Linked DNA regions of Caenorhabditis elegans. The protein of the gene in region 1 purifies or fractionates together with the protein of each later gene. This does not show direct contact. Each region holds a gene or a part of one and is shown on either strand. Other genes may lie near its edges. The genes, in order: K12C11.1, got-2.2, alh-10 and gta-1.

Region 1 (8,496 bases):
ACGGCGGTGCCAGAACCTAAAAACGTAGATCTTGTTTTGGTAGATCTTCTTCTCGTAGATCTTGTTTTCGACTAGATCTTGGAAACGTGGTGCCTCGAAAAATGACGGAAAACTATTAAAAGTTTTAATATAGCCGAAATTTCGATTTTTGGTTTAAAAAAAATACATTTTGGTTATTTTTCGATAAAATTTATTCTGAAAATGAATATTTTTCTCGTCAAAAAATTACATTTTGAGAGCTATGACTAAAAATTTTAAAATAAAATCCAAAAATTATATGTTTAAGAAAGCTTAAAAAAAATTAAAATTTAAGCTATAGCTAAGCTAATTTTAATTTTTTTTCCTAATAATTTCAGTTTTGAAGTTAAAAAATTCAATTCTTTAATGTTTTAAATTAAGTTTTGAATTAAAAAATTTTAAAAATGCTCAAAAGTTTTTGAGAGGTTCAAAATTCCGGAAAAATGGTTAAAGCTTTAATTTTGAAAAAAAAAGAAATAATGCACCTAAATTGATCTGAATTCTCTCACCTTATTGCCCTTCAACGTCTCGCCAACAACTTCAACAATTCGATCAATCTGCTTAACACCAACAATCGAAACATTCTGAAGCCACGGTTCACTTGGTGCCGCCTGTGACACACATCCAGCCATAATTATCTTTTTCCCCTGTTCCTGACCCTGTACAACGAGATTATTGGCCTGTTGTTCGGATGGTGTCTTCACTGTACAACTATTCAGTACCCATACTTGTGCGGTTTCGGGCTCTGAAAATGAACGATTTTTTCGCGGTTTTCTTCATTTTTTGATTTGCAACTTAAAACATAATTTGTCACACTGCAACTTTTTCTTCACGAGGGACGAGGAAAAGTGGTTTCTAGGCCATGGCCGAGGGGCCGACAAGTTTCAGCGGTCATTTATCTTGCTTTGTTTTCCGCCTGTTTTCTTTTGTTTTTCACAGATTTTTCCCGTTTTTTCTTATTAAAACTGATAAACAAATATTTTTTGCAGATGCTAAAACATTTTCCAAGTCAAAAAAAAAATGTATTCAGTGGGCAAGCAGCGGTGAAAGTGGGCATTGTAATATGATGGATTACGCGAATACAAAACCTAAACTTTTTCTGAAACATGATACATATGATGCTTAAATGCTGAGACTACCTGATTTTCATAACGAGACCGCTGAAAAAGTTTTGAGGTTTTCAAAATTCAACTTTTTTGGTGAAAAACCCAACTTTTCGCACAAAAAAGTTTGAATTTTGAAAACCTCAAAACTTTTACAGCGGTCTCGTTATGAAAATCAGGCAATTTCAGCATCTAAGCAGCATATGTATCATGTTTCAGAAAAAGTTTAGGTTTTGTATTCCCGTAATCCATCATTTTACATTGACCACTTTCACCGCTGCTTGCCCACTGAATACATAATTTATTTACTTGGAAATTGTTTTAGCATCTGCAAAAAGTATTTATTTATCAGTTTTATTAAGAAAAAACGAAAAAAAGCTGTGAAAAACAAAAGAAAACAGGCGGAAAACAAAGCAAGATAAATGGCCGCTGAAACTTGTCGGCCTCTCGGCCATGGCCTAGAAACCACTTATCCTCGTCCCTCGTGAGGAAAAAGTTGCAGTGAATTGTAGTATTTGTACTCAAACTTCCAATTATTGCAAAAGAAAAACGGGAAAAATCCGTTAACATTCAGCATTTTACTCAGAAAAATCAACGAAAAACCATTGAAGTTTAACTGTAGAAATCCTAGGCCATGGCGATCATTCGAATTTGTATTTGGTTTGGCATTGTCGTTTGAAAAAATACTCAATACAATTCCTTCTTCCCAGTTATCTCAACCTTTTTGAGAAAAAAAAAGCGAATAAAGTTCGAAAAAATTGCATTTAAATTAACATTTTGTTTACGAGTATGGCCTAGAAATCGCGTGGTGGCCTAGGATTCATTTGCGCGCGCGAAATTCAAATTCAGCCACTTTCGTCGATTTCAACCGCTAAATGCTGAATGTTAACGGATTTTTTTCGTTTTTCTTTTGCAATAATTGGAAGTTTGAATACAAATACTACATTTTAAAACAATTTTCCCATTGATGATACTCCTTTAAAGTTTGACGGTTATTTGAAAAAAAAAATAGTTTCCAGCCGCTTGACAAGTCGGTCAAATTTCAAATTTTAACTAATTTTAGCCTATTTTTTTGAGCCGTCATAACTTTTTTTTTGAGAAGTTGAAGTATTCAAGAAGTTTCATTATGAAATTCGGTGTTTTCAGACTATTTTGAGTATAATAAAGCAATTTAAAAAATTTCGACTACACCACTTTTTTTTTTTTTAGAAAATTTTTTTTCTAGCTTTTTTAAACCTGTGTTCGTGACTGGTAGAAACCCACAAAAAACCATTATTTGTTCCATTCTTTTTCTTTGTATTTTTTTTTCTCTCATATCAATTGAAAAACGATTGATTCTTCTTCATTTCTGTACTTACATACCACCGCTTTATTGTTTTTACCTGATTTATGGTCCTGGCACGAACGAAACTTTTTTCAAATTTTTATCATTTTTGTTTAGTGAAAAATTGGAAAATTTACGAAAAACTATTTTTTGAAAATCTCAAATATTGAGATTTTTTTAATGCAAAAAATATTAAAATTCGAGATTTTCTTTCATATTTTTGTAAATTTTCAGCATAGTTTCTGTGAGAAAATCGCTCATTTTTGGATTAAAAAAATTAGATGTTTTACAAAAAAAATACTTTCAAATTTTTTATTTAAAATCGAAAAAATCCGAAATTTGGGTTACTGTAGCTGAAAAAGTTGGTTCGTGGCAGGACCCATGTTTTCACCAATCAATTGGTAAAATTTCTTGGGTTGTCTGAATTTTCCCCCACATTCTTCCCTAGAAAGGAGTCTTATTATAAAAACCCATATTTTTTTTGTTCGATGTTTGATTTTTATTCAATTTTATCGCCGATAATATTGATAAATGCATAATAATCTTATATATGGTTGCCGGGTCTTGCTGCGCTTATCAGCAATTCTCTCCTCCATTTCATTACTTTTCCACTTGACATTTTTCGCGGGCTTTCGGACTGAAAAATTCCAGATTTTTGAATTTTTTATTCAAAAAGTTTAGATTTTTTTCAAATATTTAGAAATCCACGGGTCTCACTAGCCAAAAATAAATTGATTAAACTGATTTTTCCCTATGAAAAATCAAATTTTATTCACAATTTTTGTATTTTTTTTAGAAGAAATCCACTAAAACCGCACTTGCTTTTTAAAAAATCGATATTGCAACTTAAAATTCAAAAATTCCAAGTTTTTTACAATATTCCGGTCCAAAAAAATCGATTTCAATAGAAAATCGATTTTTTTTTGCTCGGAAATCTACTAAAACTAAAAAATTAACGGCATTATTGCAAAAATCGATAGAAAAATAATTTTTTTTGTCCAAAAAATTAAAATTTCTAAAAATATTGCAGAAATATTACCCAGGCGCAAAGATTTGCGATATTTGCGCTAAGAACTACTGAATCCGGTCTCGACGCGACGAATATTTTTGTTAAATGCTAAAGTGTGTGCGTCTTTAAAGATTACTGTACTTTGAAACTTTTGTCTATTTTGCAATAACTACAGTAATCTTTAAAAGCGCACACACCTCTTCGTATTTAACAAAAATTTGTCGTGTCGAGACCGGATACCGTAGTTTTTGGCACGAAAATCGCAAAATTTTGCGTCTGGGTAATATTTCTGCGTAATTTGATTGAGGTGCACGGGAAAATTGAATTTTTCAATTTTTCGCTCAGAAAACCAAAAAATAAACAATATTTTGAGAAGTGATTGTATAAAACATCTTTTTTTTAAAAGAAACTTCAATTTTGTTGGAAAAAAATCGTTTTCTATCGATTTTTGCAATAATACTGTTAATTTTTTGGCTTAGTGGATTTCCGAGCAAAAAAAAAATCGATTTTCTAGTGAAATCGATTTTTTTGGATCGGAATATTGTAGAAAACTTGGAATTTTTGAATTTTAAGTCGCATTATCGAGTTCTTGATTCTTGAATAAAATCTAATATTCGATATTTTTGAATTGCTTTTTTCAAAAAGTTTTACTGCGAAATTGAATTGTGCAAAAATTTTCGATCGTGTCGAGACCCAAGCCTACTACACGTGGTGCCAGGGGCTGTCCCATTACGGTTTGATCTACAAAAAATGCGGGAATTTTTCGCCGCCCAGAAAAAAATGTGACGTCAGCACGTTCCTAATCATGCAAAATCAGTCTAAGATCTCCCGCATTTTTTGTAGAACTACGTAGATCAAACCAAAATGAGTCCCATTTTGCGTTGATCTTCGAAAAGTGCGGGAGAAAAGACGCAGGCATCTCATCTGATTTCGCATGGTTAAGAACGTGTGCTGACGTCACAATTTTTCTGGAAAAATATTGCCGCATTTTTCGTAGATCAAGCCGAGATGGGACGCTCCGACCCTTCGCAATTTTGTTTTAAGTCCAAAAATCGTTTTTTTTTTGAATTTTTTGCAAGTAATAATTAATAAAACCAAACAATTCAAATCCAATTTTACAGATGACATTCCAGCTCAGCGAGAAAACATTCAAAGTCCCTGTCGACCTTTTCACGGAAAATCGCCATCGCCTCGTCGACGCGCTTAAATCCAAGGTTCCAGCTAATTCAGTAGTTCTTCTGCAAGGCGGCGTCGAAAAGAATCGCTACAACACAGATGCCGCTGATCTTCCATTCCGTCAAGAATCCTACTTCTTCTGGACGTTCGGTGTCAACGAGAGCGAATTCTACGGAGCAATTGACGTGAGGTCCGGCGGAAAAACGACACTTTTCGCTCCCCGCCTCGACCCGAGCTACGCGATTTGGGATGGAAAAATCAATAATGAGCAGTTTTTCAAGGAGAAATATGCGGTTGATGAGGTGGTATTCAACGATAAAACCACGACGATCGCTGAGAAATTGAAGGAATTGTCTGCAAAACACGTTTATTTGCTGAGAGCCGAGAACACTGATTCCGGAGATGTGCTCGCCGAGCCGAAATTCGCTGGAAGTGGAGATTTCCAGCTTGACACGGAGCTTCTCTACAAGGAAATGGCCGAGCTGAGAGTTGTCAAGACGGAGAAGGAGATTGGTGTGATGAGATATGCTAGTAAAATCGCGTCGGAAGCTCACCGAGCCGCGATGAAGCACATGCGGCCAGGGCTCTATGAGTATCAGCTGGAGGTAATTGATCGGTTTTTTTTAACTGAAAATGTGCAGAAAACCGAGGTTTTTGACTTAAAACCATGAAAATATCGGGTTTTTTCGCGAAAAATTGGAATTTTTGGCTAAAAATAACCAGAAAATCCAAAATTTGAGGTTTTTGGCTGAAAATATGGGACAATTTCGATTTTTCTAACAGGAAAATAACCAAAAAAATCTATATTTTCGACGAAATTGTGCAAAAAATTAAGATTTCTCACTGAAAATTGCTTAAAAATCGAGATTTTTGACTTAAAACCATGAAAATATTATTTAGGGTTTTTTCTCGAAAAATTGGAATTTTTGGCTTAAAATAACCAGAAAATGGAGGTTTTTCTCGAAAAAATTATACTTCTAACCGTAAATTTGAGGATTTTGGCTGAAAATATGCAAAAAATTGAGTTATTTTGCAGAATATAAAGAATTTTGACTAAAAGCGCCTGAAAAAATCCAAAAAAAAAATCGGTTTTTTGCTTGAAATGATCGAAAAATGTAGATTTTCGACAAAAAAGTGTGTGAAATGGCTAAAAATGACCAAAATTAATGTTTTTTTTTTTTGGATAAAAAGTGACCAAAAAATCAATATTTTCCAGTTTTGGTGGTGGTAAATTAGACGTTTTTGGCTGAAAATATGTGAAAAATCTATATTTTCGACGAAATTGTGCAAAAAATTTAGACTTCTTACTGAAAATGGCTTTAAAAAAACCAGATAACCAGATTTTTGGTGTGAAATTGTTGAAAAAAAAATTTCTGCCAAAAGTGAGATATTTGACTGAAAATGACCAAAAATTCCGGTTTTTTCATCGTAAATTTCAAAATTTTGGCTGAAAATGACTATTAATCAATATTTTCCTGTTTCGTGATAAGTTTTCTAGTTTAAAGTAACAAATCGACATAAAATTTGGCTGAGATCGTGACGAGACCCCCCTCTTCCTAGAAAAACAGCGTGTGCCTTTAAACTGGCGGGTCAAATTTGTGTGCCAGATGCCAGGCAATGCGGGAATTTTTTGCCCAACCATGATGCAAAATCAGTTGAGAACTCTGCGCGTCTCTTTTTCTCCCGCATTTTTTGTAGATCAACGTAGATCAAGCCGAAACGAGACACTCTGAGACACCGACGTGCTAGTGTACTCCTCGTGAACAAAACTTTAAATTATAACAAATCTTAAAAATTTGGCTCAGATCGTGGCGAGACCCCCCCCCCCCCCCCCCCCCCCCTCCCCCAGAAAAACATCGTGTGCCTTTAAACTGGGACAGAGATGCTCAATAACCAAAGCGTGAATTCCAGAGTCTGTTCCGTCACACATCCTACTACCACGGAGGCTGCCGACATCTCGCCTACACCTGCATCGCCGCCACCGGCTGCAACGGCTCAGTGCTTCACTACGGCCACGCGAATGCTCCAAACGACAAGTTCATCAAGGACGGCGACATGTGCCTTTTCGATATGGGACCCGAATACAACTGCTACGCATCAGACATCACCACCTCATTCCCGTCAAACGGAAAATTCACCGAAAAACAGAAAATCGTGTACAACGCTGTGCTCGCCGCCAATCTTGCCGTCTTGAAAGCGGCAAAACCGGGCGTTCGCTGGACGGATATGCACATTTTGTCGGAAAAAGTGATTCTGGAGCATCTCAAGCAGGCTGGGCTCATCGTCGGCGACATTGATAAGGCTGTGGAGGCACGTGTAGGCGCGGTCTTCATGCCTCATGGATTGGGACACTTGATCGGGTTGGATGTGCACGATTGTGGAGGATATATGGGTGATGCGACGCCGAGATCAACGCTTCCCGGGCTCAAGAGCCTCAGAACGACGAGAACGCTGATGGAGAGAATGGTGAATAGCTCTGCAACCCGTCAAAACAGTCCCAAAACAGTAGATTTTCGGAAAAATCGATAATTTTCGCAGAAATCGAGTTGGCAGAGCCCTGCAACCCGTAAAAATTGTGGAAAAGCTGACTTTTTTAGTCAAAACTGTCCCACGGGAGTAAATTTTTCGGAAAAATCGATAATTTTCGCAGAAATCCAGGTGTCAGAGATCTGCAACCCGTTAAAATTGGAAAAAATTGACTTTTTCAGTAAAAATGGTTCCAAAGCATTAAAATTTTCGGAAATATCGATAATTTTCGTGAAAATCGAGGCGGCAGAGCTCTGCAACCGTAAAAATTGTGGAAAAGCTGACTTTTTCAGTCAAAACTGTCCCACGGGAGTAAATTTTTCGGAAAAATCGATAATTTTTTGAGTTTTGAGCTGTTAAAGCATGCAAAATGCCGAAATTTTATCGAAAAGTAGAAAAATTAGCCCCGCGGAGCTGGAAAATCCAGAAAACCTCAATTTTTCCGAATTTTCACGTAAAAATCGATATCTTCCAGGCAATCACCATCGAACCCGGCTGCTATTTCATTGATTTCCTGCTCAACGAGGCGCTCGCCGACCCGAAAAAGAGCGAATTCCTCGTCAAATCCGAAATCGACAAGTACCGCGGATCAGGCGGCGTCCGTATCGAGGATGACGTCATCATTCGTGCTTCTGGTAACGAGAATCTGAGCGATCTTCCACGAACCGTCGAGGAGATCGAGAACTTCATGGCTAGTGGAGGCGAATGGACGGAGAAGGTCATCGAATCTCGTGTCTCTGATTTCTTGTCCAAGTGATTTTTTGTCTACTGATTCTAATTTATCATCATTCCTACTACTATTACTGTGTTATTTTTTCATGTAAAATAAAATTTAATTTTTAAAAATTTGGGATTTTCCGAAAACGAAGAGTTTATTTGTAAGATAAATAAGTTATTTTAAACTTTTTTGGTTGTATAATATGATTCGAAATGTGGAAAATAGATTAAATGAGACAGAGAAACCGAGTATCTCAGTGGAAAAGGGATGGATGGGTGTTTGTTTTCGGATTAGAGTGTAGGTAGAGGACTAGAATCCGCCCAGCTGCTCTTGGTAGACCTCGATGACGTCATCGTCCTCCATCTCGAGCGTCTTCGGTGTGTCATCGTCGTTGATGCGACGTCCGTCGAAGAGGAAACTGCAAATATTTAAAGTTGATAGGAATTGGCGCGGATTTCCAAAACTCACCGAAGACTGTTGACGGCGACACCGGTTCTGTCAGCGTACGACTTCTTCAGCTTGGCCATAGAGGTTCCATACTTTACACGGAAGTGCACTTCGTTGCTGTCCTGCAATTTTTTTGGGAATTATTAACAAATTCGCGGCGAATTTCCAGTCAAAT
Region 2 (6,459 bases), on another chromosome or scaffold:
AGTCGGATTGAAATGAAAAAGGGATTAGAAAGCTTTACATTCCATATGAAAATTTTATTTTTTATGTCTTTTTTTCATTTTTAATGAGATATTTGAAACTAAATGTAACAAAGGTTGGTTATCATTGGTGGAAAAATGAATACAAACGACATAAAAAGACAATGTAAATGTATCTAGCCCAAAATGTATGCAATATTTTATTAAGTTTTATGAGCGGAATATGAGTATTTTACGGTCATAAAAGTAGATGAAAATGATTCTGAAATAACTCTCCAACTTATGCTATAATTAATTAAGGAATAAAATGTATTGTATCAATTTGCTACTTTGATAGCTAAAATTGACACAATATGCTTCTGTTCGAAAGTTTTTGGAAGATTCAGCAATACGAAGTCTGTAAAAACATTTCAAATTAATTTTAAACTACTTTGTTAATTTACAAATTTTCCCACATCGTTATTCGGGATGATGTACCAATTGAAAAATTGAGTACTTGAAACCTTCGACTAAATTTTGTAGTAATCTTTATAGATATTTTGATTTCAATTTTTTGTATGATCTATACATTTTCCATACTCTATTATTTTTTTAACAGTTTTCCAGTTGAGACTTAAGTCTTTCTAAGTTCTTTCAAAATGGGAAAACTAGTTGAGCATCTTTGGTAACGCCGAACTATTGCTATTTTTTTAAAAGTTATTAGTTCAGATACATAATTTCGAAACACCATGATTCATTTCCAGTGCTGTACAAATTGAAAATGCGTCAGAACTGTGTACAAAAATAGGGACTCATACAGAAAAATGTATCTATAATTTGAATCATATCTATTCCGGGCTTGCAATGGATCTCCGATGTACTATACAATTCAGAAATTATGAGATCTATTTTCGGAAAGTGTTGATTTCATAATTTGTACAGCAGCCTGTTGATTATTATTTTGCCGGTTTTTCGTTTTTGCTTCATAAACCGACAATGGAAAAACCGAGCCACAATGTGTGCACACAGCTCCAAACGATTGATGTGTGTGTCGTCAAAAAACATGAGTCAATGAGCCGAGCAGTAAATAAGTGAAGCTGCTCAAATAACTGTACATCACTTTCGTAATCCTGAATTCAATTGAATTGATGATTTACGCTTGGATATTTGGTACACGTCAGATAACAAATTTTGCAGAAAAAAAAACTCCCATTGTTCTATGAGACAATATGGGGGATTTTGAATTTCAAACGGGACTGCAGTTTCTGTAAAGAAAAAGAAAACAAAGGAGCAGCAATTCGCATCAAAAACAAACAAACTGACCAACGGTGAAAAATACTCTCGATTTACAAAAATAGGGGATCGGTTGAAGAACGTTTTAAATTGAAGTATAGTTATTCAAATCTGGTAGATCACCCATGCTCACCCATGAATTATTTATGAAAAATCATTAGTTCGGTTATTATTATGCTCATTATTGTAAAACTGCATAAACGACCAAAGTTGATGCTTCCAAAAAAATACAAGTGAATGTTCAGGTAATTGTGAGCACAGTTTGCACGAGTGATTTGTAAATTATCAACACGTTTTCTTTAATATCGTCATCGGAAACAAGATAGTATTATAAAAATCATTCATGGTAATTTTTATTTTCACACGGCAGGCTGGGTGTTGTTCAACTGAATATGTCTAAACATGGCAATGAACTTGTTTTCGTCAAGTTGTGTCTTCAAGCTTATCTCTCAAATATAAATCCCCAATACCGCCTGAGATGTTCATAGTCTTAGAACATCAAACTCAGGTTTTAATGTATATGCCTCAAGCTTCAGGCTGCAGTCTAAAGTTTTACAGTCTTGATAGACCAGCGTAATTTTTGCCCATTCGGAAATGTTTCACCGAAGCCTTTTTGGGACTTTTGAATGCAGCAAGAACTGGAGGAATCAAATAGAATCAAACAGATTTTCTTGTTACTGAGGGAACCTGTTTTCTCAAATTATGCTTTTTGTTTTTTTTTTTTTTAATTTAATTATGCAGCCCAAGCTGCTTGGCGTCATCGGTAGAGGCCCGCCATTGGATGGTTGTCGGCTTGATTCGGCGGCCGATATAGATGCGCTCATTAACAACTTCGAGTTGAGATATAATGGAGGATCCATTAACGTAGGAAGTACTGGACTCTGAAAATTCATTGCGCGAGGCTTGCCCATTTTCTCAGCTTATCCCACTTATCGTCTTGAAATCTACTGGAACCAATTTCGTATATATTATTTGAGCAGTTGACTGGAAGTAAGTTGTTGATTTGCGACGAGCTAAATACCATCTGAAAATTCACGGCTAGTTTGAGTTCTGTCCAGGTATGATTTTGTAATCTTTGGTTTCAGTTTTTATAAGGCATTTTGAAAACAAGCTGAAATAATTTTTGAAAAAAAAATAGATTTTCTAACCAATTTATTTTGACCCATGACCGTGACTTGAATTTGCAGAATTAAATACCAGAACTCTACGCCCATGTTTCAGAAAACCACACCGATGCGTTTATCTGAAGTCGAAAAGTTTCTGAAAATTTTGTTAAATAATTATGTATTTAACTCTCTAATGTATTTAACATAATTTGATTTTATAAAAATACTTTGTCTTTTTCCTCGAAAATCTTATGGTTTCAGAGAACTCAAAATATGTGCGTGTTATACCATTCATTGTAAGCACACTTCCAACTAAATAAATTTAAATTTGAAAGTGATATTAATTTTTTTTAATTTTTCGTTTTCAGAAAACTGACAATTATATTTCTTTCAAAACAGTTAGAAACACAACGTTTCAGAATCGAATAATTGAATTAACGTAATTGCTAAACAAATATCGTGCATATCATTTTTCAATAACCAACTCCAGTAAAGATTAAGGTCGAAACCCAATTTATTAAAAGTTCCCATTCTCAGAAAAAAAACAGGCTACAAATAAAAATGAGATAAAGCATACTGCCATTCTACAACCGGAGAATAAGAAAACCGAAAACGAGAAAATTATTCTATTATGACAGATAGAATAAGTTAAAATGGGAAGAGTGCATTTGTCACTGATTTACTTGGTGACTTGGTGGAGAGCGTGGGCAAGGTAAGCGACATTGTTCGATGAAATTCCCGCCACCGAGATACGTCCGTCCTTGGTGAGGTAGACAGAGTGTTCCTTGATAAGCTTCTCAACTTGTTGTGGGTTGATTCCAGTAAAGCAGAACATTCCAATTTGGTTGGTAATGTGCTCCCAATTACGAGTAGATCCCTCCTTGGCGAGCAAATCCTTGAGCGTAGTTCTCATGGTGATGATACGATCAGCCATGAGCTTGACATCTCCGAGCCATTGCTTGTTGAGAGCTGGATCCGCGAGGATGCGGGAAGCAATGCGAGCTCCATGGACTGGTGGGTTGGAGTAGAGTGGGCGAATAAGGATCTTGACTTGAGAAGCAACACGAGCAGCCTCATCAGCGTCCGAGGTAACAACGGAGAAAGCACCGACTCGTTCACCTTAAACAGAATAAATTATAAAAATTATGCAGTATTCAGGGTTAGGGCTACAAAAGGGTAGAAAAGATAGGATAATGCGACACCAGTGATATCCGCGTTATCATGGCCTAACTTCCAACACCAAGAAGAAACTGCGCTCTATTGCACAAAAACAATACATTTCGTATTGAACTCCAGCTTGTAAAATTCAAATTTAACAAATTAGTATGTAAACTCACCATAAAGTCCCATGTTCTTGGCAAAGGATTGAGAGAGAACAATGTTGTGTCCTTGCTCGACAAAGTAACGAACAGCGAACGCGTCATTGTCAACATCTCCGGAAGCGAAACCTTGGTAAGCCATATCGAAGAAGACAAACAAGTTGCGTTTCTTCACAATGTCGGAGATCTTCTTCCACTGGTCACGGGATGGATCAACTCCAGTTGGGTTGTGAGCACAAGCGTGAAGCAAGATTGTGGATCCTTCCGGGATTTGAGCAATGTCAGCGAGTGCTCCAGTTTCATCAAAACCACAGGTGGACTTGTCATAATAGCGGTATTGCTTGACATCGACTCCGGCAAATTTGAAGATTGGAACATGGTTTCCCCAAGTTGGTGTTGGCTGGTAGATAACCTTGGTCTTGGCGTACTTAGAAAGGAACTCAGATCCGATTCTAAGGGCTCCAGTTCCAGAAATGCTCTGAGTGGTGAAGATTCTCTTGTTCTTGATCACATCAGAGTTCTCTCCAAGAGCGAGTTGAGCAGAGAGCTTGGTGAACTCGGGAAGTCCTGCAAACAAATAAAGAGTTCAAATGGATCAATAAGTTTATAACACTCACCAACAATTCCGGCGTACTCCTTATCAAGATTGGCAGCGATCACTTGACGTTCAGCTTCCTTGACCGATGGGAGAACAAATGGCTTTCCTTGATCGTCACGGTAAGCTCCGACTCCAAGGTTGATCTTCTTTGGGTTTGAATCGGCTTTGAAGGCCTCGGTGACTCCAAGAATCGCATCTGGTGGTCCCATCTCAACATGCGACCACCACGACTTTCCTCGCACGGCGGTAGAGAAAAGCTTCTTGGAAACGCTCATTGTTGATTGGAGAAAGATTACCTGAATATTCAATATTAATGTTTCGAGTGGGAACTTAAAAGACGTTTTGAAAGTAGGCGTGGAAATCACGTTCCGATTAGAATGAAGCAACGAAACATTGATAGCAGGGAAGACTAGAGTACGTACAACGCATGATTCCTTATCCGAAGAAACAAAAATAAAATAAAACGTGGGTATCATTATCTTTACCAGGACAATTATTTGAGTGTTCAATGGTGTTTGAATGGGCTGATTGGACACTTTTTTTAAATTCAAAAAAGATACCCTAGGACACTCCATTCAGGGTACTAACCACATTTCTAGCCTTTAGCAACGGCGTGGCATCAAACTAGGCTAAAATTGTAGTTAAACTTATTGACTCTATCAAAAACAACTGATGTGAAACAACAAAATGGACCGACTGCACCGCCTATGAAAGAATGGACGCGTCTGCTCATCTTATCCCAGTCCACGAACTGGCAAGGAAGACGACAAGTGAGAAGAACTGGAGAAACTAGGTTAGAGAGTACGGAGATTCGAGAGAGTGTAGGGTGGCAGAGGAAAACTCGGGCGGCCGCGGCAACGTGAGAAACATGCGGTTCGACGATTCAGTCGTTTTTGTGTAACTCGGCGCTCGAGAACTGGTAAACAGTAAGTAAACTGCGTTCGAAAAAAAATATAAGAAAATCGCCGTACTTCGGTCGTGAAATTATTTGTTTAAATAATATAATTTTTTAAACTTTTCTATTAGCAGCACCGTGTTCGCAAAAAAAAATCTCAAAGAATTTTTGATGAACGGAAAAAAAGCGACTAATGACTGTAAAAAGGCAAGGAAAAACTGAGGCCAACAAGATAAATGAAAAAAAATTTGGTTGTTGTTGTGGTTCGTCACTCTCAAAGGTTCGATATTGTCCGCGCGCGGCCGGAGAACACAGGTTGGTAGGTCAAAAGTGCTGGTGGCACACGGATATTGGAAGTCTTAAAATTCAAGATGGTGTCTTACTTCAAAAATTGAATTTGGGATAGCAAAAAAAAATAAATTTAAAGTACAGAAAAAATATAAAACATAGAAAAAAGTTAATGAAAAATGGTTTTTATATTAACGTTTGGACGTTTGGAAAACCGCTCAAAATTGTGTGAAGAATTTCGGATATATTCTGGAAAGGAATCCACCAAAGTGTTGGAGTTTTTTCCCGTCATTTTCAAAGATTAGGACAATTTTTGAGTTTTTTTTTCGATTGTTCCAAATAAAAGGAAAATGATTTTCAGATAAAGCAACCAGTTTTCTATAATCTTTAACTAAGGTATAATTTTTATTTTTTGTTGAATTGCTTGTCGGAAATTATAGCGCATCCACGGTCGATAAAATAAAATGTAAATTGTAAGATGGTTTAAAAAATTTTTCTAACATCTGGAAACAAAAACGTTTACAACTGAACTGCCTGTGAGTATAGTGTTATCATTTTGGATTACCTCTTGTGAGCAAACTTCAATACATTCAATTCTGATAAACAAAACCTAGCACACGTCACACTAACCTGTAGTGTTCAGATAGAGTTTTTTGAAAATTACTTTTAGATTGTCGCCCGAATTTTGTGTAATTCACTTTGTGTTACAAATTTACAAATTGTTCAACATTTGTGTGACTTTCACGTGGACATCCGTAAACATTTTGAGTCCTTTGTTTCTCTCAATTTTTCTCTCGATTTGAGTGCAAAATGATTTTTGCGATAAATATGAAAGAAACTCCAAATTTTGCCTAGCCTAGAGAAAAGGATCTATTGTCTCCGGGAGGTTTCGTATCGCGGAATCGAGACCGGCCTAGAACAGGATCTGTTGTCGGGAAGAGATGAGATTTCTAGGACACGATATGAACGATGTCAAGGCTAAAA
Region 3 (8,021 bases), on another chromosome or scaffold:
ATAAGCAAATGGCTACTGAAGCGGTCCGCAAGGCAACTCTTGCCAAGAATTCTGCCATCGAAGCAAATGCTACCATTCTCGCTGAGGAAGATGAAATCAAGAAAATCATCAATTCTTTGGGTAAGAACACTATTTAGCTCAGTCAATTATTTAATGTCACTCATATTTCAGATACCATGGAAGAAGTGAACAACGCGGAGCTAGATGAGCTCGAGGAGGAAATTGACAGACTTGATCAATTGTTGGCTCAGGCACAACTTGCCAAGGAAGTTCCCACGTATCAGCAATACCGCGCTGACGAGGACGTAAAGGTGGCACAGCTCAAAAATGATATTTCTGAGCTCCAGAAGGAGGTTTGTTTTGCTGGCTATAGTATTCGTATAATTAAACTGTATTTTTCAGGTTTTGAACCTAGAGGAAATCCGTGACAACTTGCCAACCAAATGCTTCAATGTCATCAATTTGGAGCAAGAGGGACAGAAATAAGATAATCTTTATAATTTTTCTATCAAACTTTTTCTATGAAAATCGATCAGATAATTTATTAACTCTAATATTAAAATATCTGAAAAAGAGCCCTTAAAAATTATTAGGTCGGCAAATAATTATTGACGTGTTTTGCCAATTAACGATTTTTTGTAAATTTTATATGTGTCTCTTACAGTAAACCGAGAGTGTATAAAAGCATATGAATATCAGTTGCTTTGGTCATCTGAGTAGTAATACGATTCGAAAAAATCGAAAAGTTTTTTTTCCAATTTTTTGAGTTAGCCGTGAGAGTTGTAATGTTAATATCTAAATCAATTAAGTTCTGTTTGCTTAATGCAAAAAATGAATCCCAACCCAATTGAGCCATTCCATAAACTTAATAGTAAATCAAAGTCAAAAAGCAAACCGCACAAAAATACGATATTTTTTAGTTTTGATTAATTCTTGGAAATATTTTCTTCACAGCTAACTCAAAAAATCGCGAAAAGCATTTTTCAAAAAATTTTTGATTTTTTAGATTCTTAATACTACGCAGGTAGCCAAAGTAGCTGATATTTTTATGTTTTCATACATTCACATTTTACTATAAGACACACATACAAAATTTACAAAAATTGTTAATTGACAAAATACGTCAATAATTATTTGTCTACCTAATAAAATACGTTTAAATTGCTGATCGACTTCTATTATTAATTTACGTGTTGAGCCGGGATAATTATTTTTGTTCCCATAACTAATAATTTCCTCTTCCTGTCGCCTTATTGTCACATTACCCTCACCTTCCCCGGTGCCCAAACGCGTGCACAGCTTGATGAAATTTTGCAAAATTTTGTTAAGCATCTTCTGTTTTTTTGTCTTCTTTCCTATTATTTTGTGATAATGTTGAACTGTTCAACTATTCTAAATTATCACGCTAAACTATTTCCTTTATCAACGATTCTCTATTTAAAAAATATACCAAATTCATTTTTGTTATCCGAAATCTCATACCAAATTTTGCCACCAACACATCGATTTCCCCAACGCTTTCAGTTTCTTATTTGTTTTAATTAATATTTTTATAAACGTTCAATTTTAAAATTTTTTATGAAATTACGAAATACAGTTTAAGTTTTCAGAATATTTTCCAGACTACAAATATGACAACAATGTTATCTTTGTAGGCACACCATGGACAAACCATGCATCATAAGGTTTTTGCATTGCATACTGACCTTGAATAGATACTCGGTGTTGTTCGTGCCGATCGATGAGAACTATATAAGAGATGATGATATTGCAGAGATAGGAGAACATACCGAACAATTCTATTCATTCTACCAAAAACACAAGGTTCAAAATTGACTCAAAATGGCTTCTTTGAATTATCGCGAGGAGTTCAAAAATATTCTTCAAAAGCTTATCGATTCCCCCAATGAACAACACGACCCATTGACAAATTTTATTGGAAATGAATTTGCAAGATCGGAGAAATTAATGGACTCAGTTAATCCTTCGACTGGAAAACCTTGGATCAAAATACCAGACGGGACTGCGAGAGAAGTAGATCAAGCGGTTGAAGCCGCTAAAGAAGCGTTCAAAACGTAAGTTTTTGTGTTTAAATAAACCAAATATTGCTCAATTCTTAAAGCAGTGCAAAATAAATTATTTGAAACTATACCATTTTAACAACTAACAATTTTTCCCGGCTAAAAATTAATAGATCCATCGACCTTAAAATACCTACATAAATCTAGTTGAAAACACATGATAATTAACTTGTATACCCAAAATTAGACAGCGATTTTATAACAATTTGTTTCCAGCCTCTGCGACAATGCCACGTAGGTCGAATTTTAAATATTTACAAACTTTATGTCATTTTCTAAGCCGCCATAACTTTATTTTGAGAAGATTTGTAGAAGTTTAATGACTAAATTTGGTGTTTTCATAAAATTTTAAGTCTACTACAGCAATACAAAATTCTACTGCATCACCTTTAATTGTATGTGTATTTGTTAGTTTTTTACAAATTATATTCAAAACTGGAAATTTAAAATCAGATTTTCAAAGTTTTAATTGTCAGGTTTAGTTTTTATAAATATTTTTGAAGTTTGTACACCAGTTTTATCATGCAAATCTCCAAACTATTTCATGTCGCATTATTATGCAAATTTACGGAGAATCTGTATTGAAACTGTGTCCAACCCAAAAAAATCCTCGAACTACTCAAAAAATTAATTTTCAAATCAAAACATTTTCAGCTGGAAAAAAACAACAGTGCAGCAACGATCAGCACTTCTCAATAAAGTTGCTAATCTCATAGAGGAGTTTAACGATGATATCGCTATTTTGGAGAGCCGTGACCAAGGAAAGCCAATTGGACTGGCTAAGTGAGTGAACCTTTTTTGAAATAATAACTCCAATTCCTGTTTAGAGTGATGGATATTCCTCGTTGTGTGCAAAACTTTAGAGATTTTGCAAATGCTGCTCTTTACTCCCTATCAACTTCAACCATTCTCGAGCAACCTACAGGAAAATTTGTTAACTATGTGAAAAATGACCCTGTAGGTGTTGCTGGTCTTATTAGCCCATGGAACCTTCCCCTTTACTTGGTAAAATCGAACTTCGAAAAATATTTTTTACAACTGTTTTTAGCTTTCGTTCAAATTGGCTCCCGCATTGGTGGCTGGAAACACAGTAGTTTGTAAACCAAGTGAGATGACTAGTGTTACTGCATGGGTTTTAATGCATGCATTCAAACTAGTTGGATTTCCTCCTGGTGTCGTAAATATGGTGATTGGCGAAGGAAAAAGTGCTGGACAACGATTGGTTGATCATGTCGATGTTCCACTCATTAGTTTCACTGGGAGCACGGTAATAGGAAAGAAAATCCAAGAAGATGGTGCGAAGCTCAATAAAAAAGTGTCTCTGGAGATGGGAGGGAAGAATCCTGGAATAGTTTACTCTAATTACCGAAAGTCGGATATTGCTTCAATTGCAAGGTATTTGAAATTGTAACTGTTCTGTCTACTCTGCCCATCATGTGTAGATACCTAGTTTGAAATTTGAAAAAAACACAACTTTTTGTGCAAACACTGTGGTTCAAAGTAAGGATAATATGTTTATTAAAACTGATAAAACTAATTCTCGTCACGATGACAGTTGACGTAATTTGATGTTACCAAATCATCCTTTTTTATCTATACAAAATTTGTAACATAATGATATCACTTCCAAATAGGCACAAATTTGTAACTAGATAATGTTATAGGTCCTCATTTCTCAACCAAGGAGAAATTTGTCTCTGCACAAGTCGGCTTTTTGTGCAAAAACCAATTTTTGCTGACTTCGTTAAAAGTTATGTAGAAGAAGCTAAGAAGGTTTGCATTACATTTTTCAGTTCATTAATTCTAATTTTAGTTTACTGTGGGAGATCCAACTACTCAAGTTCAAATCGGAGCCATGAATTCAAAAGTGCACTACGAGAAAGTGAAAAGCTACATTGAGCTTGCCAAAAAAGAAGGCGCCGATATTCTTTGTGGAGGCGTGACGACCATTCAAAATGGGTGTGAGAATGTGAGTCAGATGTTATTAGTTAACCTTGCTAATCTTTGAAATTTTAGGGCTATTTTATTACACCTACAGTAATTGTTGGTTTGCATGACGCTTCGAAAGTTATGACAGATGAAATATTTGGTCCAGTTGTGTGCATCACGCCCTTCGACACAGCGGAGGTATGTTATGATGTTACAAGTTTTAAAGTATTTTCTGATAACACAGGAAGTAATTGAACGCGCAAACTCCACTCCCTATGGCTTGTCAGCAACAGTTTGGAGTTCAGATAGTGATGAATTGTTAAACACGGCCAACGAGCTGAGAGCCGGAACAGTTTGGTGCAACACTTGGCTGGTAAGATAATGGGAGATGATAATTCGAGTTGGGTGTGACCAAGTTCTAGTTAATTACGGACGATAAGAGCGGTATGTGTGGGTAGACAGACAACATGACGATTGACCAATTTGTTTTGCTTGGAATGATGTTCATGTAGCTACAGACCAAACTAAATTAATTGTAAATGTACCAAGAATCCATGAAAATCACCAAAAATAAAGAATGCTTTTAAAAAATTTATAGATATTCTGTGCTGCTTAATTGTTTCACTAAGCGTCACTAAAAACTACTTGGAACTTTTCCAATAGTTAATCAACTCTCGGTTTTAAATTATTCTCATGTTGAAAATTCAGGCTCGCGACCTGAGCATGCCGTTTGGTGGATGTAAGCAATCTGGAAATGGAAGAGAAGGTCTCCACGACTCACTCCACTTTTACTCCGATGCAAAAACTGTTTGTGTGAATATTGCTGCTAAGTACTAACTTATCATGAATCGCAACCGTTTATTGTAAAATCCAATTTAGCTCATAATATATAAATATTTTCTTTCGAATCAAAAGTTATTTAGAACAAGATGGACATGGTGGGCATGTGTACGATCCTCCAGTTGGATATGCTCCATTTGGATACTGGCACAGGAACTGATGCTTAACTGTGCACAAATCGGAAAACCATCTTCCTGTTGACAGTTGCATTGCTCCACAATGACGATCTTCAAGAGGCTGTCCAGGTCCGGGATTGGTGAAGTTCAAAACGCTCCCATCTGTCCATCTCCAGTCATTTGTATGTCCTTCGTCGCTTCCACCAATCCAGAACAAGTCATAGTCAGCATCTAGATTATCAACAGCTAGTTCTGAAATCAATGTATTTGGTTTAGAAATTCATATGTTCAAGACATACTTTGAATCCAGTTGTTTTCGATCATGCTGTGAATTGATACCAGACTTCCACCAACGGTTTTCAAGCAATGAGCATCGGAGTCATTGAATGTTCCATGTACTCGATTGTATGAAAAACAACTGAAAGATGTGATATTGAGACAATTTATAACAATAAATAACTTACTAAATCTCAAATGGAGTATCTCCAGGAAGACAATTTGGTGACACAAAACACAAAAGCGCGACAAGAGTAAAGAACAAAACACGAAGCATTTTCAGTGTCCAGTAAAATAATAAATTTTATCTGCTTATCACAGCTATTTATATACTCCATTTTAAGGCGTCTCCGTATTCTTCCCACAATATTATAAGCTTTTATCAGTGCTTTTTGCAGTTAAAATATTTAAAAAAATTAAACTCATAGATGAGACTGGAATGTTCATCTGTCTGTGTTATCATCGTTTGATGACTGATTTTGATAAGATTTGTTCCCCTCTAATCCCCAACTCGCACAATAACGCATTTCATTGAAAAATATCAAAAAGCGAGAATTAAATTCTCAGAAAAAGAAATGTGTGACAATTGAACTTTCAACGGCAATTTGTTGTTAGATCTCAAAAATAGAAGTACTCGGGACACAAATATTAAAACACAGTAAAACTTCCGACATGTGGTTGATGGAATGCAAACTAGGAAAAATTGTAACTAAAAATGAAATGAGTAGAGAAAGAGGTAATGAAGGAAAGGTTGAGATTGGAAAGTAGAAAAAGAGATGAAATGGGTCAATTTTTTGAGGTTTTGTGTAGGTGCTTAAAAACTTCTAGGTTACAAATTAGAATTTGGAAAACGTTTACTAAAGTATATAGACAAAATCTACTGTTTCACTTTTAGCCTTTAAAACAATTATTTTCTGAAGCTGAGAAATTTAAGTCTTCTGAACGGGCTCATGCTGCTGCCAGTCGATGCAGGTTTCCGAGTTACAGGGGCCGCGGTCGTCTTCCTGTCGGATGGTTCTCCCCTAGAATCGGTCTCAGATGCTTCTCCTTCTCTTTCTTCCATTATTGCTGTACAAATCGATGGTTTTCGATTTATCTCAATGCATGCTGAAGATCTTCTATTCGGGTCAATTGCACCAAGTGCTTTCGCTAGATCCGCAGTCACAACTTTTGTTTCAACGGTTTCCGTGATTCTTCTGGTCACTCTGCAAAAATGTGTCGTTTGAACTTGGGAGTATTAATTTGTGATCACTCACTTGTTATCTTCAATCGAAACTATTGTGCTTAACGAGGAGGAGGAGGAATTTGTTGTGTCTATGGCACCTTGCTCTTTTTTCCGTTTTTTGATATCTGCCAAGTACTTCAACCCTTCTTTGTCCATGTATGCAGAATCAGAAGAACCTTAATTTCAAACGATTCTATTTTATTCGACCTTAGTATGCCAGCTCTTCTTTAGTCTCCGGGTTTCAGTCTTGAAATTCATAAATTTTACTGACTTGATGTTACTTTTAATCGTTTTCTGATATTTCCTACCTAGTTTATATTTAAAAAAAAACAAATAATGGTACTATTTTTTGTTAAATTGATCAACAGTTTCAATCATTTTTTATTAGAATTTAGGCTTTTATAATTGAAAACTGTTAATATCCGAATCAAAATAACTATTCATAAATTAGTATATTAGTTTTTCATTACGAACGCCTTTGGTAGTTAGTATGGAGCTATGTGAATAGAATAAATACGAAACAGTTTATGTTGATGCATCTTGATTTTTTTTCCAAAGTTTTACAACAGCTAAAAAACACATTTAAAATCCTTAAAATACCATAATTCTTATCGATATAAGTAAACGTAATTGTGAAATTTCTGTGACACAAAATTTATAAAATCAAAAGTCAAAAGTGATTTCATTGTATTTTTCAGAATTATAACTTTGAGGTACACTGTAAAGACTGTACTACTGTAAAGTGGAGTACCGACAATGGGGATTTTTCTTGAATAAACTCAAAATATATCAGAGATACTATTTCAAAAAGTCCGAAATGCTGCAGATTTTTCAAACCCTTATTTAAAAAAAGTTGTTTTTTTTTTAATTTTTTAATGTTCGAACTCCTACAATGTTCAATATAGCCAATAAATAAAACACATATTCAGAAAATAATATTTTTAGGGAAACTTTCACACTTTTTGCGATTTTCAGCACTACCCCGTATGTCGTAACTTTATTTTACCAGCACCAGTATAAGTAGTGGGTTTCTTATTTCTGTAAAACTAGAACAAAACCAAGCAAATGTAACCTTTGAAAACATACCATCATTTTTGTGATCTTTCTTCCCAGAAAAACTTGAACTGGGCGTACAATCAGCAATTCCACTGTCCGCTTTTGGACGAAACTCCTTATCATGATCGTGGTCTTTATCCTTTTCTCTATCTTTCCCTCTTCCCTTCTCCAATTTTCTATCTTTCTTTGCTTGAATTTTCCGTTCCAACTCCCTCTTCTTTTCCGCTAATTCTCTCGCTTCCCATTCTTCTTTTCTTTTCAAATCCATTGCTGCTTTTTCTCGGTCTCGTCTATTATTATCTTCCTTTTCCCGTTTTTCTCTATCATAATCAAAGGACCCTCCTGGTCCTCCTCCACCAAAAGGAAATCGTTTTGTATCTGATGCAGAATTTTTACCTAATCTTGAAAAGTCAATTGAGATCAGATCCTCGTCCGATCTTCTTTTCGGTGAACTGGTTCGCTGGGTGTGTAGACTTTTTGGACTACTTCTTGCGGACC
Region 4 (8,179 bases), on another chromosome or scaffold:
TCAAATTCTTTTATAGGAAGATTTATCGAAACTATTGTTTAGGATGATTGCCACACCGATTGGGTTTCCACCGTTCGTTTCTCTCCATCGAACCGCGATCCAGTGATCGTCTCCGCAGGATGGGACAAGGTTGTCAAGGTCTGGAACCTCGGAAACTGCCGTCTGAAGACCAACCACATCGGTCACACCGGATACGTCAACACCGTTACCGTCTCTCCAGATGGTTCCCTCTGTGCTTCCGGAGGCAAAGACGGACAAGCTATGCTTTGGGACCTCAACGAGGGCAAGCACTTGTACACCCTTCCAGGAAACGACGTCATCAACGCCATGTCCTTCTCTCCAAACAGATACTGGCTCTGCGCCGCTGTCGGATCTTCCATCAAGATCTGGGATCTCGAGGACAAGAAGGAGATCGAGGAGCTCAAGCCAGAAATCGCCAGCTCTGGAAGCTCAAGAGGATCCAGCCCACAGTGTATCTCTTTGGCCTGGTCTCAAGACGGACAAACCCTCTTCGCCGGATACACCGATAACATCATCCGAGTGTACCAGGTGTCGATCCGTGCTTCCAACTAATTTGTTACCTGTTAATTCAAAACCCTTCAATAAAATTGTTGATATAATTTTGTATTCAACCATGTCAGATAAATTATTCGCGTTAATCAAGAATATCTAGCAGATGATAAAACAGCAAGGTATACTTGTTATGTTAGAGATGACGGATCGTAATGAGTTGATCGGTGTTGCAATTCGAGTAGTGGCGGCGGCTGCAGTTTCATTTCTATCAGTGCGCTATCTAGTCAAGTACTTGGATCCAAATTATAGTGTGAATGAAGAAAGCAAAAAGAAGGTTTGTAGATTTACAACACTAATTTTGTTTTTTTAATATACAGGTGGCACAGCTGTTTCATGAACTTGGTATCGATCGTCAAATAGAACTCTCAGAGCACGAAATTAGAATCGCCACGCAGTTTGTTGGCGGAGAAGACGTTGGAGCAGATTGGGATGAGATCGGTAGAACAGAAAATTGTTTCGCAAAAAAAAAGAAAAATTTTACAGGTGGCTGCGAAGAACTTGTTGCTGAACTAAAGGATCGCATTATTTTACCCTTGAGATTCGCATCGCAAAGTGGAAGTCATTTATTGTCTCCTCCACGTGGAATTCTTCTTTATGGACCACCCGGATGTGGAAAAACTCTTTTAGCGAAAGCAGTTGCAAGGGCAGCTGGATGCCGGTTAGTTATTCATAAATGCAGAATTGACCTGTTTTAAATATTGCTACCTTTCAGATTTATCAATCTTCAAGTGTCAAACCTAACTGATAAATGGTACGGAGAGTCTCAAAAACTTGCGGCCGCTGTTTTCTCTGTTGCTCAAAAGTTTCAACCAACAATTATTTTCATTGATGAAATTGATTCGTTCCTCCGAGACAGACAATCTCATGATCACGAATCAACAGCAATGATGAAGGCACAATTCATGACATTATGGGATGGATTTTCTAGTTCTGGAGATCAAATCATTGTTATGGGAGCTACAAATCGTCCACGAGACGTTGATGCTGCTATTCTACGCAGAATGACTGCAAGATTCCAAGTTCCAGTACCAAATGCCAAGCAAAGAAGTCAGATTCTTAATGTGATTCTCAGGAATGAAAAGATCAATAATACTGTAAATCTCGGAGAAATCGCACAGGCAGCAGAAGGTCTTAGTGGAAGTGATTTGAAAGAGGTTCGTGCTTTTTTTCTTTTTAAAATTTTAATCAAATATATTACATCCCCGAAATGGTCGTAATATTATTAGTTCGCTTTGTGGCTATATATGTCACATATATTCTAGTGGAATTCGGTAACGAAATATTTAATATAAATCTGTTCAACATGAAAAATTGTAGACAATAATATATCTTGGATTTCCTATAAAATCCAATACATTTTTAACATGAATTAATAGTGAAACAGCAAATAAGTATATGTGTTTTTATTGAAAACTACGAAAACTCGATTAAACTTTTGCAACAACGAGAGTTTGAAATTACAGTACTCTTTAAAGGTACACACCTTTTCATAGTTAACATAAAATTTCGTGTCGAGAATATTTGGGGCAGAAATCGCAAAGTTTTGCGAGCTTCATGAGAATAAATTGCTGTTTCACAATTAATTCATGTTTCTAATGTGAAAAATGCATTGGATTTTAAAGGAAAAATGTAATTTGTAATATGATAAAATGTAATATAATTGTCTACAGTAACCTTAAAGGAAAAAAAAATACAAATAAAAACATTAGTGAAGAGAATTGTATATATTTAATACAAGTTGTTCTAATAGTGAGCTTGAAAAAACTTACAATTTTGAATTTAATTTTAAAAAAACTCATTTAAATTATTTCAACTTCTTCCAAAATCATCTAAAAATATTTAGAAGTTAGATACACAATAATTAGCTTAAAAAATAATACGCGTTCGAAAATTTTAAGTTTTTATGTTACAGGAAAATGAAACGCCAATAATCGTGTTGTTATGTAATTTTTCAGGTTTGTCGTCTTGCTCTTCTCGCTCGAGCAAAAGCTACTGTAGCTTCTGGAGGTTCCGTAAATCAACTTCTTCCATTGGAACAGTCCGATTTTGAGTCAGCAGTGCATAAATATATGAGAGCCGCACATTTACTTGTTGAAGAAACACTTGATTAGTCTTAAAAGTTCAAGAAACGAATGTTTTATTTCATGTAAACTTCTATTTCTTTTTCTCTAAAAGTAGTCCATTCGTTCTTGTAGGTCTCAATTTATTATACCTTTTTGTAGTATAAAGCTAAAGAAATGTAACGGTGCTTTGACTTAAAATCGAAAATCTTTTTTTTTATTCCCCGGAGCTTCTAGAACAGATTCAAAAACTAATATTTCTGATTCCTGATTTTTTACTTCCCTATTCTTATGTATTGCATTGATTTAATAAGTACGTTTAGATTACCGGTTAGATTGTATTCTCTTTTTCTCTTTTCTTTCACTTGTCGATATCTCCAGAATCTGAAGAAACAATAAATCGATCACGTGACCCCATCTCTTTGTGTCAGTTGTCCTTCCGATTACACCCTTCGTGCTCTGCGAGCCTTTTTCTTTGCACAACGTGGAGCAAGTTTACACCATTCACAGGCTCAATATAAACGTCTTCCATTGGCTTCCAATTTTTCAGTTTACTTCTTCAAACAATTTTCACTAGAAAACGCATTTATTTCCTTCACTAAAAAACATAAGCTCCTCCCCCTGCCTTTCTCTGCGTCTCGTTTGACGCCTAAAAAGAGAAAACGGGAGAAAAAATTATTCGGTTTTCTCCTGCCACTTCAAATTTTACTCTTCTTTCTCTTTGTTTTTTTCAAATCGATTTTCGAATAATTTGAATAGTTTTTTTCAGAAGGAAGAATGCTTCCCAGACTGGCAAAGTCATCTTTAATCCAACAGGGTAAACCAATTAATATATTTTGGATTCAACTGGGATTTATTTAGGAAATAATTTAACATATAATTTTTGATTTTGAAAAACCTAACCTGCAGCTTTTTAGTTCTTCTAGATACATTCATTTTCAACCCTTTTTACTTGCATCTTTGACCTAAAACACATTGAAAAAGAAACAAACAACACTTTTTTGATTCTCTTATCAGTTTATCAGTATCACAAACATTAACGAAGGCAATTGATTTTTCTCGAGTAAAACCGAATAGGGAAAAGATCAGAAAAACTGAACGATAAAATCGAAGTTTTGGTAAATTGGCAGGTATTTTGATATTCACCACATGTTTCAATTTGGAAGATTAAAAAAACAAAATTTTCTGAAATTTTAAAAAAATACTAAAACACTTCAACACCATGAGAATGTTTCCAAAAAATGCTCTGACTCAATTGAAACGTTTATTTTAGTGCGTGGAGTTTCGGCGATTGCAAATGCCGAGCCATCTGGACCTAGTATTTCAACGAGCATTCCTGGACCAAAGTCAAAGGCGTTGAAACAGGAAATGGATAAAGTTCATGTAAGAATTGAGATATCGAAAGTTAAATGGTTTTTTTAAACATCATGGACCTTAAAATACCTTCAAATTGTGATAACTTATTTTTTATATCTATTCTAAATCTTATACGCTCATTATGTATTGGTTTTAGTTTTTGACAATTATTCAGTGGCGAAATCGCTTGAAATTACTTTTCAAACAAAAACTTTGGCTGAACTTTCTGACAACTTGCTCAACAGAAGCTCAACATTGTCAATTTGATTCTAAATTATTAAGAATTATAAGATAGATAAATTATAATTTTAGATTACAAAACATTATTAGCTATTTAATGGTCACACAATTGCGAAGAATTTCGAGCCATTCAGTTCAATTTTCAAATCAAAAACCAACATCTCAACTCCGTAATTACATGAACATCACATTCTTACCCTTATCACAGAACGAATGAAATTCGTCTCAGAAATATTACACTTTCTCTGGTCAACTGACAACTGACATTCAGGAGTTTTGATTATTTGATTTTAGTTTTTTTAATTTCAAATCTTCAATTTCATTGATAATACAAAAAATAAAATAATATTTCAAGGAAATTTAAATTTTATACATATTGTCAAAAATACTGTAGTTATGAAACATATGAATCATTCCAAATGCAATATGAGATTTCAAAATTTTATAAAAATTAAAAAAATTTTTTTTCAGCAAACTACATCCGTTCGTTTCCATGTCGACTACGAGAAATCATTCGGAAATTACGTTGTAGATGCTGATGGTTAGTTTTTATTTTCAGTTTACACACCAGGATTTAATTTAGGAAATGCACTTCTCGATGTCTATACTCAAATATCATCTCTTCCTTTGGGATACAATCATCCAGATTTGGTTAAGGTCGCTTCGCAGCCACATTTGATTGTGAGTTTTTATAAATTGATTTCAAAATCAATTTTTGAACCTCTTACAATCAATTGGAGCATTCGAACTTAGCCTTCCATGTACGCATGAAAATGTTTTACGCCGCATCCGCATTCAGGCACAAATACAGAAATTAGGCGGTAGGCAGTCAGGCAGGCAGGAGGAAGGCACATAATGACCATATTTTCACATTAACCGTACACCTAGAAACCAGTAAAAAATTAAATATTAAGTGATTTGCCTGTCTGTAATATTTGGATAAAACTAAAGAAAACAAGATACTTACTGAAAAGTTGAGAAATGTATTAGAAAATAAATTTTCAGACATCTCTTGTTTCTCGTCCAGCTCTTGGATCCTTCCCACGTACCGACTTTGCTGATGGAATTTCTCATGCTCTTACATCAATTGCTCCAAAAGGATTGAAGGCAGTTCAAACAATGCTTTGCGGTACATCGGCCAACGAGAATGCAATCAAAACTGCATTTATCTGGTATCAAGCTCAGAGAAGAGGAGGTCTTGGACCAGATGCTCTTCATTTGGAAAGCTGCATGAATCAACAGAAACCAGGAACTCCAAATCTTTCAGTTATGGGATTTGAAGGAGCTTTCCATGGAAGATCTTTGTGCATGTTGTCGGTTACCAGAAGTAAGCCAATTCATAAGGTATTTCAAAGTTTTATTTCGAAACAATTCTAATTAATTATTTTCAGGTTGATATTCCAGCATTTGACTGGCCAATTGCCAAGTTCCCCCGTTATAAGTATCCACTTGACCAGAATGTTGCATACAATAAGAAGCAAGATCAGGAGTGTCTTGCTGACGTTGAAGCGAAGATTTCCGAATGGAAACGTCGTGATAATGATGTAGCTGCAATTATTGTTGAACCAATTCAAGCAGAAGGTGGAGATCATTATGGAAGTCCAGCATTCTTCCAAGGCCTCCGTGATATTACTTCTAAACATGGAATTGTATTCATTGTTGATGAAGTTCAAACTGGAGGTGGAGCAACTGGAGATATCTGGGCTCATGATCACTGGAACTTGAGCTCTCCACCAGATATGGTCACATTCTCAAAGAAACTTTTGACAGGAGGATACTTCTACGGAGAACATCTCCGAGTTAAGGAGGCTTACCGTATTTACAACACATGGATGGGAGATCCGACCAAGCTTCTTCTTTTGGAAAAGGCTGTTGAGGTTATTAAGAGAGATGGATTGATTGAGCAGAGCAGAGAAGTTGGAGCTGAATTCCAAAAGAGACTTGGAGAACTTCAAGCATCGTCTGGAGGAAAGTTGGATCAAGCCAGAGGAAGAGGAACTTTTGCCGCCGTTGACTTCCCATCTGGATCTTTGAGAGACAAATTTGTTGACTTGGTAAGCAGAATTAATAGTGATAAATGTCAAATTCAGCCATCTTACATTTATATATTAAATTTCTTAAACTTCAATTTAATTTTAGGCCATCAGCAACGGACTTCACTGTGGAGGATGTGGAGACCGTTCACTTCGTTTCCGTCCATCACTCGTCTACACCAAAAAACATTTGGATCTGACTTTCGATCTTCTCGACAAGACTTTGAAGGGATTGTAATCATTTTTTCTTTTGTTTTCTCTTTAAAGCTGTATCCATTTTATTTGCTTCGCTGACCATCTAGCTTGTTATTATTTCAAAATATAATTAATAAATTAAATATTCATTTATAATGACACCGGAAATTGATTTTTTATTGTTTCTTCTCGGGAAGTTATACTTCGGATCGATTCCAATTGAATTTATAAATTTTTAGACACGTGTTCCTCCGACTAGCTGTGACATCTTTTCATAGATTATCTCGATTTCTTGCTGAAAACAAAATAATTTGGTATTGGAAAATGAGATAATTCGATTTTCACCTTCGAGGCAAAAATACCACACTGAATTTCGGTATACGATGAAAGAACCTGTACCACGTCAACACAACCCGTTGTCTCCAGTTGACACGCTAAAGTTGTGGCTGCACAAATACTGAATGCAAGTGCTGTATCATCTGAATATTCATCAATTTTGTTATAAATATAATATAATTAAAGTTTAAAGTATTTACAGATCATAGTATGTACGTTTCTACGCACACTACCATTTTTAAACTAGAACCAAAGGGGTTTTTATAAACTCCAAATTTGTGTTACAAAATTTTTTTGAACCAAAAATATTGATAGATATCAAGCTATACTCACCATTAAACAAAATAGAAAGTGATAATGTAGAAGTACTATCTGTTGGTGATGGAACACTTGGTGGGTATTTATGAGCCAGAATAAGCAATGGAGCATCATGATAAGTGATCCTCTGTTTTTGAACATTTTCAATTTCCCTCCAAAAATCAGTATCCAAATCTGCTCTTGACACATTCACAATTCGAACACACAGTTGTTGATCATCTTTTTGGAGCAGGACAAAGTTATCTCCGTGTTGAAGTTGAATTTCACCATCGTATATACAACTGGGAAGTTTTCTCCAAAACGAGTCTCGTTGGTTTAGAATCACAATTGTTTGAACTTTTTGTTGCCATGTTAATCTCCAAAGATCTTCACATTCATTACCCCATGATCCGACCATGAATTCATCAGATCTATGGTATCCTGGGAGTGTTATGACGTCTGATTCAATTAGACATCGAGGTTGATGTTTGCAATCACAGATATCCTTGAATAAATACTAAAGTTGAGAGGAGTTAGAAAAATATCTAATACAAACCTCAAATTGCAACTGCATTCTTGTTTTTCCGTTCAAATTTTCTTCGGATAAGTAATGCAGGTATCTCATAAAAAGGTCTGAATGAACTCGTGTGATTCCGTGACGAATCAATTGCCGGATAGCTTCGTGGCAGAAAATATATTGCTCCTGAAATCAGAAGTTTTGATACTAAGATTTCAAAGAAAGTAGATATTCTTACCAAAGTCTGCACCAATTTCGCTCTTTGTCTTCTCATATGTGTCAAATGTCCTTGAACATTGAGTCTTCGGAAACTAATCAAATGCCTTCTCATGCTATCAACAAGGATATATGAACCAGATCTACCAACTCCGGCGCTGAAAATATAAAATTAAAACTAAAATTCTCGGATTTCAGAATAACATACCTGCAATGAACTACAACGGGTCCGGTGGAATGAATATCGGAAGTGTAATGAACAAAGCTTAAAAGTGGGAAAACAGACGAAGGAACTCCATGATCCGGCCATCCCATAAAGTGAAGCTGATGGACTTTCCGTTCAACAGCTGGCACTG

Evidence for each region.
Region 2: the proteins of K12C11.1 (region 1) and got-2.2 fractionate together in Caenorhabditis elegans (co-fractionation; one large-scale study listed by BioGRID). This does not show direct contact.
Region 3: the proteins of K12C11.1 (region 1) and alh-10 fractionate together in Caenorhabditis elegans (co-fractionation; one large-scale study listed by BioGRID). This does not show direct contact.
Region 4: the proteins of K12C11.1 (region 1) and gta-1 fractionate together in Caenorhabditis elegans (co-fractionation; one large-scale study listed by BioGRID). This does not show direct contact.

The regions. Positions count from the first base shown.
Region 1 is NC_003279.8:1,340,772-1,349,267, reverse strand, and holds K12C11.1 (Xaa-Pro dipeptidase), read left to right. Parts: upstream 1-4,575; coding exon 4,576-5,235; intron 5,236-6,541; coding exon 6,542-7,096; intron 7,097-7,631; coding exon 7,632-7,913; 3' UTR 7,914-7,996; downstream 7,997-8,496. Other genes in the region: Y92H12BL.1 (Threonylcarbamoyladenosine tRNA methylthiotransferase), read right to left, coding at 528-650; smo-1 (Small ubiquitin-related modifier), read right to left, coding at 8,184-8,292, 8,343-8,443.
Region 2 is NC_003284.9:6,239,112-6,245,570, reverse strand, and holds got-2.2 (Aspartate aminotransferase), read right to left. Parts: upstream 4,589-6,459; 5' UTR 4,568-4,588; coding exon 4,312-4,567; intron 4,262-4,311; coding exon 3,713-4,261; intron 3,495-3,712; coding exon 3,055-3,494; 3' UTR 2,862-3,054; downstream 1-2,861.
Region 3 is NC_003284.9:7,137,399-7,145,419, reverse strand, and holds alh-10 (Aldehyde dehydrogenase domain-containing protein), read left to right. Parts: upstream 1-1,778; 5' UTR 1,779-1,842; coding exon 1,843-2,075; intron 2,076-2,735; coding exon 2,736-2,864; intron 2,865-2,908; coding exon 2,909-3,086; intron 3,087-3,129; coding exon 3,130-3,476; intron 3,477-3,745; coding exon 3,746-3,854; intron 3,855-3,894; coding exon 3,895-4,050; intron 4,051-4,097; coding exon 4,098-4,208; intron 4,209-4,254; coding exon 4,255-4,383; intron 4,384-4,718; coding exon 4,719-4,847; 3' UTR 4,848-4,916; downstream 4,917-8,021. Other genes in the region: Laminin-like protein lam-2, read left to right, coding at 1-120, 172-353, 403-486; clec-86 (C-type lectin domain-containing protein), read right to left, coding at 4,926-5,218, 5,266-5,384, 5,431-5,519; ist-1 (IRS-type PTB domain-containing protein), read right to left, coding at 6,150-6,447, 6,499-6,643, 7,554-8,021.
Region 4 is NC_003282.8:10,177,258-10,185,436, forward strand, and holds gta-1 (putative 4-aminobutyrate aminotransferase, mitochondrial), read left to right. Parts: upstream 1-3,402; 5' UTR 3,403-3,410; coding exon 3,411-3,450; intron 3,451-3,906; coding exon 3,907-4,016; intron 4,017-4,700; coding exon 4,701-4,770; intron 4,771-4,812; coding exon 4,813-4,910; intron 4,911-5,234; coding exon 5,235-5,573; intron 5,574-5,620; coding exon 5,621-6,283; intron 6,284-6,368; coding exon 6,369-6,500; 3' UTR 6,501-6,682; downstream 6,683-8,179. Other genes in the region: rack-1 (Small ribosomal subunit protein RACK1), read left to right, coding at 43-573; mspn-1 (Mitochondrial sorting homolog), read left to right, coding at 713-847, 891-1,011, 1,057-1,231, 1,286-1,727, 2,529-2,684; ptrg-1 (Tyrosine-protein phosphatase 4), read right to left, coding at 6,693-6,752, 6,803-6,936, 7,127-7,595, 7,647-7,793, 7,846-7,981, 8,032-8,179.